Nothobranchius furzeri: one gene and its partner. The protein of the gene in region 2 binds, or shares a complex with, the protein of the main gene of each other region. Links are inferred from orthologs where the notes say so. Each region holds a gene or a part of one and is shown on either strand. Other genes may lie near its edges. The genes, in order: chrac1 and baz1a.

Region 1 (4,256 bases), on a different chromosome or scaffold from region 2:
AAAATAACCGTAAAGACATCAAAAAGCCTTAAAACACAACGAAGTTAAAGCAGCATTATTTATGTACTGACTTGTTTCTACTTTCAGCGCGGAGGTTCTTCTTCAGCGTTTCCTTTGTTCTGAGGTCGGAAAACTATTGAAGTCAAGCGCCGCCTACTGGTGTGGAGGACTGCGTCGGGCGCTGGGCTGGGGCAGCTAAATGTGAGTCAGTATTTCCTTATTATCGTTGTTAAAATAGATATGAGTGCATGAACAACAACTTTGTGTTTTTTCAGGATTAAAATAATAAACTATTGATCACTAGTATCACTCATTCACATGTTTAAAAAGTTTGGATTGATATAGGAATTAACTTATTGAGTGCTGAAGCAGCGGCCTTCTTCTTCTTATCATTATTATTACAATGGGAGATAACCGTTTATTTGATTATTATCTGTTTAACAAAGTTGTTACTTTCCATGCCTTTGATTGTATCTTTTTCACTCTTTATTTTTACAGGTTTTTGCTGATTGAAAGACTGGCTTTCCCCACTAACAGACAAATAAAACGTCTTCTACTTTAAATTATTTAAATTATTAATATTTTTATTGTTAGTAGTAGCTAGTAGAAGTAGTAGAAGTAGTAGTAGTAGTAGTAGTAGTAGTAGTAGTAGTAGTAGTAGTAGTAGTAGTAGTAGGAGGAGGAGGAGGAGGAGGAGGAGGAGGAGGCAGAGTAGTAGTGGTGGTTGTTCCTGTTTTTTAATGTATTTCATATTTTTTACAGATTTCCTTAAAAGTTTTTAGAAAATTGGTATAATCCTTTGAGGAACTAAAATAATGTTAATTACTTTTGTTTACTTTTATAAACAATTCTGCAGTTTATTTTACTGTATTCTAACAAACACATTTTTACACTAGGACCTGTGATTCATGGAGAATAGAAACAAATGCAAACAAAATAAAAAGAGTTCCATTTCCTTTGCCTCACTATGGCAAAAATAATGATAGAGTTTATTCGAGATTATTCATTTGTATATTTAAGTATATTATATTAAATTATATTATATTAAATATAATAGTTTTAAACAAGCTGAAAGTTGTTTCTCTCAAGCATGGTTCTGTTTTGACCGTTTCCCAAGAGCTGGTTGGAATGATTGTCAGGTACTTTTTTAAAATACAAATATAGTATCAGGGTAAAATTTAATTACTATTTATTAAATTTAATCTAAATATACAGTGTTGTTTGAAATAACATCTTTTGTGCTGGGTTATACTCCTGCTTTCCAGCGGGAGGCGCTGTTTCAACGTAAAGACCACCAAAGAAATTGAAGACGGCGAAGAAGAAAGGCGTCACTCTTCAAAACAAAACTTAAAGTTCAGTCATTCTTGTCCTTTGTCCAAACAGAAATGTCTCGAAACAACCCAAACAAAGACAGCCAGACGCCGGACGCCAAAAAGTCCATCTCTCTCCCGGTGTCCCGGGTCAGACTGATCATGAAGAGCTCTCCGGATGTCTCCAGCATCAACCAAGACGCGCTGTTCCTCACCACCAAGGCTACTGTAAGCTGCCCTTGATGCTAATGTGGTTGTGTTTCTATTAGCGGGGGGTTAGCATAACTAGCTGGTGGTTGAACTAAAATCGTGTGAAGTTAAAATCGCTAAATATAGTTTTTAATCTGTTGTAAAGGAGCTGTTTGTGCAGCATCTGGCCCTGTCCTCCTTCAACAACGGCTCCGGGAAGGACAGCAACACCCTGGAATACAGCGACCTAGCTAAAACCACCGAGGAGAACGAGACCTTCCACTTCCTCACAGGCGAGTCTGGAGCTGAGCATCAGCGCGTCCTGAAGCCAGATTATTAGATACACTGGCCTTTATTGTATTTTAATGTTTTATTTATAAATAAGTGTTTTAATAAAGTCCCAGACACGAGGAAAATAGCAAAACGCCATTGGAAGCTAGCTTTTGGACCATTTAGGAAGATTTATTTTAGCTTTCCTGTATTTTACTGCCAAAAATGAAAGATTGGAATGAAACAGAATCAAACCAATAAAAAAAAACTTACAGATGAGAGAGAGAGCGATATGAATTTTCCACAAGAACTGTAAGCCGCTTACATTTATTTTAGCAACATGTAATTTTTGTGCCATTTGAACTTTATTTCTCAGAGAAAAGACCGATAATAAATAAAATTTATACTGAAAAACAGGTTTTTTTAATCTGACAGATATTTTGCCGAAGAAGATCTTGGCTCGAGATTACCTCAAGACTTTGGAGCAGATGCAAGAAGAAGAAGAAGAAGCTGATCTTTGACATGAAAGCCACTTTCCCTGGTGTGTGTGTGTGTGTGTGTGTGTGTGTGTGTGTGTGTGTGTGTGTGTGTGTGTGTGTGTGTGTGTGTGTGTGTGTGTGTCAGAGGAGACACTTATGGACTTTAGAGCTTTTTAAACACACGGTCTTGGAGAAGGTGGAGCTTAAATTGCCTCAGAGCTCAGCTCTGAGGAATTTAGACCAAATAATGGCAGTAAGCAAATAAGATATTTAACACTGGTTTAAAAGGCAGCACAGACCAATCAGTTCAGTTTAACATTTTAATTTTGGCTGAACACAGTCGGGGCTGTCTTTTAGGTGCTTCCACTTGCACCAGAAGTGAACCGTTACCTCCTAACAGACGTGACAAGCAGCTGGAACACAGACGTGACAGAAAACACGAGTGGATGAAAAACTTCATCCACCTGTAGAGAGGCGACGTGTTTAGATGAGAGACTGCGAAGCAGCGTTTGTGCCTCTCCAGATGTGAAATGCCACCTCAGCTTCACGTCATTTTCTTTGTTAAAATGTCTCAGAGGGAATCGTCGTTGTGAATTTACTCGTGTGTTTAGATTTGATATAAAATAAAGATGAATGCTAAAATAAATGCCTCTCGTGTCAAGATCCGATGTTTTATACTTTTATGATGTTTCACAAGCATGTTGCAGGGGATTGTGGTTGATATTTAGTTAGCTGCTGCATGAATGGAACATGAATCGTCAGCGTCGGGTCAGCTTCGCGAGTCGAAGCTGAAAATGAAACAGATTCTTCTCTAAAGTAGAAAAGTGACTCTCCAGGCTGTTCGCCGTGCGCGCTCTCCTGTCGAGACCGTCCCTCGTGTTGGCGAGATGATCGTTCAGCCTAAAGAGGACGAAACGAGTAAATATGGATAAGTTTGTTTTTAATCAAACAAACACATTCAGTTAACGACCTCTGATGTCCAGATGATGACTCAGCTTGTTTTCTACTTTTAGATCCATCATGTAATAATCCAGATTTCACGTGCCTCGTTAAGGATTCATAGCTAACCTCCACAGCTGACTCTGGATCAGTTTGTTCATGTAAAACAATCTGAACAGCTCATTTGCAAGAAATAGCAGATTTGTCTTTTTCAGCAGCCTGCTTAATCTCTTAATCTCACTCTTAAATTCTCAGTCTCACTATTTTAATCTCAATCTCACTATTTTAATCTCTCAGTATCACTCTTTCTTTCTTTCTCTCTCAATATCTCTCTTAATCTCTCAATCTCACTTTTAATCCCTCAGTTTCTCTGTGTCTCAGTATCCCAATCTCCCTCATAATCTCTCAATCTTTCTTAATCCTTCTCTCTCAATCTCTCTGTTATTCAGTTTCTCTCCCCCCCCCCTCAATATCACTCTTAATCTCTCAATCTCACTTTTAATCCCTCAGTTTCCCTTTGTCTCAGTATCCCAATCTCCCTCATAATCTCTCAATCTCTCTTAATCCTTCTTTCTCAATCTCTCTGTTATTCAGTTTCTCCCCCCCCCTCAATATCACTCTTAATCTCTCAATCTCACTTTTAATCCCTCAGTTTCCCTTTGTCTCAGTATCCCAATCTCCCTCATAATCTCTCAATCTTTCTTAATCCTTCTCTCTCAATCTCTCTGTTATTCAGTTTCTCCCCCCCCCTCAATATCTCTCTTAATCTCTCAATCTCACTTTTAATCCCTCAGTTTCCCTTTGTCTCAGTATCCCAATCTCCCTCATAATCTCTCAATCTTTCTTAATCCTTCTCTCTCAATCTCTCTGTTATTCAGTTTCCCCCCCCCCCCTCAATATCTCTCTTAATCTCTCAATCTCACTTTTAATCCCTCAGTTTCTCTGTGTCTCAGTATCCCAATCTCCCTCATAATCTCTCAATCTTTCTTAATCCTTCTCTCTCAATCTCTCTGTTATTCAGTTTCTCTCCCCCCCCTCAATATCACTCTTAATCTCTCAATCTCACTTT
Region 2 (2,927 bases):
CTACCTATTCCCCCCTTCCTTTTCACTCGCTCTCTTTCTTTACATTTTTAACCACAACTGTCTATTTTTTGCTCATTTTAAATATATTTTTAATCATTTTCTAAATTATTTTTATATTTTACATTTTTTGTTTTTGTGAGGCGCCTCGTGATTTTTATCTTGAGAGGCGCTATAGAAAATATATTTTCTTCTTAAAGTTTTGATAGTTGTTGAAATCCACACTTTTAGTTTGTACCTGGTTAAGAAAACAATCTGTTACCATGGTTTACTTTTTCATAGATGTGTAAGGAACCATCACAACCCGCTCCAGCAAAACACATCTTATACAGCTCATGGAAAGCCAAAAGCAAAAAGGAAACCGACTTACAGAAACTGGGCAGTGGCTATTTAGAAAACATTTATTTTAACACAAAGCTAGCAATCATAAATAAAAACAGGCTTCTACAAAATAAATACAAAAGGGAAATCAAAGGGAGTGGGGAGGGCTGCAGCAGGTCCAGTGTAGTGTCTACAGCTAATCCATCCAGAAAACACACACACACACACACACACACACACACGCACACGCACGCGCACGCACGCACGCACGCTCTAGGAAGCAGGAATTCAGCGAAATAAAAACCAGTGAAGACATCAACAACAGTTTTAGTAGAAAAAACATGAACCAAACAAAAACTACAAACCCCTGAGGCTAGAGAAAGAACATTTATCTGAACATTTACTTCATTAACTAACAAATCGCTTCCCTCTAGCTTTGTGTTTTCTCACACTAAACACATTTTCTTTAAGGGGTTTAGTCTGAAATGTGTTCAGAGAAAACAAACGTTTGTGAGGATGGATCAATGCGATAACGCTGGCAGAACAAAGTCCAACATCAGCAGCAGATGAACAGTAGTGAGGTCAACGTGAGGTCACTGTCGGGAGCGTTTGGCAGGAGGGGTGGTGCCACATTCTAATAGGCCGAGTCGGCCGAGCTCTGAGTGGAAGAACTGCTGCAAGCGATGTCCAGCCTTTGCCTCATTAGTGTGACGTTGATTATACTGGAGACAGTTGAAGAACATCAACTCCACATCGGAGATGTATTCACCTACAAACACCAGAAAGGGTCAAAGTTTCTTATAATCGCACACATCATCGCATTTCGTGGTCCTCTCTTTTTAGGACGCGTCTTGATTCGTGTTTGGTGCATTTCAGTTTGTGCGTTACATTAGTACCATGTAGCGGGGTGATGTGTGCACCGGCATGACTCGAGCAGAAGAAAGGACTTTCAGTGACTCAACTATTTGCCATTGATTCTCTGGCCTGGTTGATGGTTAGGCATGTAAGAAAATATTGATGTGCTGGAAATCGTGGTATTCTGCGTTATTATAAACTGACTGATATTTAAAAGCAGAGTATCCATGTTTTTATTTACAATTTACATTTAATGTATTTCTTTTTGTGTGGTGCAATTCACACTCCGATGCTAGGTGGCAGCAGTTCATACCGGTTGGTTTCCGGTTAACCGGCTGGTTAAAGAACATAGCCGGTTAAAGAAATGCCGGTAAACATGCATCCCTATCATCTGGCTTTTATCACAATACATCGTATCATCTCACCTGTATTGTGATGTACATTATGCATCACCAGATTTGCTAATGCACACCCCTATTGATGAGTTAGAAGTATTCCTTACCAGAGTGCGAATGTTAAATTAAATTAACCCAGTGAGACTATTTTGAGTGCATTTTAAAATTTTCTTAACTATTTCAGATTAGTAAGAATTCATAGACATGAAAAAAAAATTAATTTTCAAACCTCAGTAGTAAAAGCATCAAATAAACAATTTAATAATAATAATAATAATCAATCCACCTTTTCCTGAAAAACAACAAATCAACTAAATTGAGCAGAGTGAAACATGACCACTGGTCAGATTAGGTCACATGATGTAGATTTTGTTTTAACAGCTAACATTCTGACAGGCTCGAACAAAACAACACACATTACTCCTGTTCTGGCTTCCCTACATTGGCTTCCTGTGGACTGCCGGGCAAAGTTTTTTGTCTTGTTTGTCTTTCGGTCCATCAACGGTGGTTCCCCACCACATCTGGCTGGGCTGCTTCAGATGCATGCCCCTACATGCTCTCTTCGCTCAGCTAACCAAGATTTGCTCATCGTCCCAAGAACAAGGCTGAAAAAACGAGGTGATGGGGCCTTTTCTGTCCTAGCTCCAACACTATGGAACGAGCTTCCACTTGTCAAACAGTCCCCATCACTGCAGGTCTTTAAGAGTCGTTTGAAGACTTACTTATTTTATCGTTTGGCTTTTATGTAATATGAATTTTTAGAATTGTGGTCTCTTTGCTCTTTTGTTGTTTCTATGTTATGTTCAATGCAAGGGCAGTGGAAGGTGCTATACACATAAAATTTGATTGATTGATTGATTGTACCACGTAGGTCTAATATCTACTACAGTGTGTTAATAACTCATTTTCATTATTTATTTAAAAAATGCAATTAAAAAACTTGTTTTACTTTGTGAGTTATATAACAAAACCCCGAGCTGCTGATGAAGCGTCTCTCACCTGCAGTCTGATATTCACAGTTGTTGATCTTCTCTCTGATGGTGCTCAGAGCGATGGGCTTCTTGATGATGTCGTAGTAATCAGGAACCTGAACAGAGACACGGGTGAAACCTTATGAAGATAAAACATGGTGAAGGTTGAACTGAAAGAAGAAATTAGACAAATTAAAATATGATTAGTCCTAAAGGGAAATTAGATGCTTTCAGGGTTTCCGCTATATGTATTTAGCCGTTGCGCTCGATCCCTCAGTCTCACAGACTCAGGTGGCTGTGAAGGCGTCCACTTGTATGTTCTAGAGCTTCTGACACTGGAGGAACCAAAGAACATGGTCCTCACAGAGCAGCCTGTTTGGTCCAGGAA

Evidence for each region.
Region 1: baz1a (region 2) and chrac1 share a complex: the UniProt entries of both Homo sapiens proteins name them as parts of the CHRAC ISWI chromatin remodeling complex. The link is inferred for Nothobranchius furzeri from reciprocal best matches to the Homo sapiens genes BAZ1A and CHRAC1.

Annotation. Positions count from the first base shown.
Region 1 is NC_091759.1:18,090,557-18,094,812, forward strand, and holds the start of chrac1 (chromatin accessibility complex protein 1), read left to right. Parts: upstream 1-1,279; 5' UTR 1,280-1,385; coding exon 1,386-1,538; intron 1,539-1,665; coding exon 1,666-1,792; intron 1,793-2,204; coding exon 2,205-2,290; 3' UTR 2,291-2,310; exon of another isoform or gene 2,311-2,429; intron 2,430-2,605; exon of another isoform or gene 2,606-2,696; intron 2,697-2,914; exon of another isoform or gene 2,915-3,006; coding exon of another isoform or gene 3,007-3,148; intron 3,149-4,256. Other genes in the region: uncharacterized protein si:ch211-57n23.1, read right to left, coding at 3,007-3,148. UniProt on the Homo sapiens protein: Forms a complex with DNA polymerase epsilon subunit POLE3 and binds naked DNA, which is then incorporated into chromatin, aided by the nucleosome remodeling activity of ISWI/SNF2H and ACF1.
Region 2 is NC_091758.1:18,204,482-18,207,408, reverse strand, and holds the end of baz1a (bromodomain adjacent to zinc finger domain protein 1A), read right to left. Parts: intron 2,656-2,927; coding exon 2,568-2,655; intron 1,088-2,567; coding exon 912-1,087; 3' UTR 718-911; downstream 1-717. UniProt on the Homo sapiens protein: Regulatory subunit of the ATP-dependent ACF-1 and ACF-5 ISWI chromatin remodeling complexes, which form ordered nucleosome arrays on chromatin and slide edge- and center-positioned histone octamers away from their original location on the DNA template to facilitate access to DNA during DNA-templated processes such as DNA replication, transcription, and repair.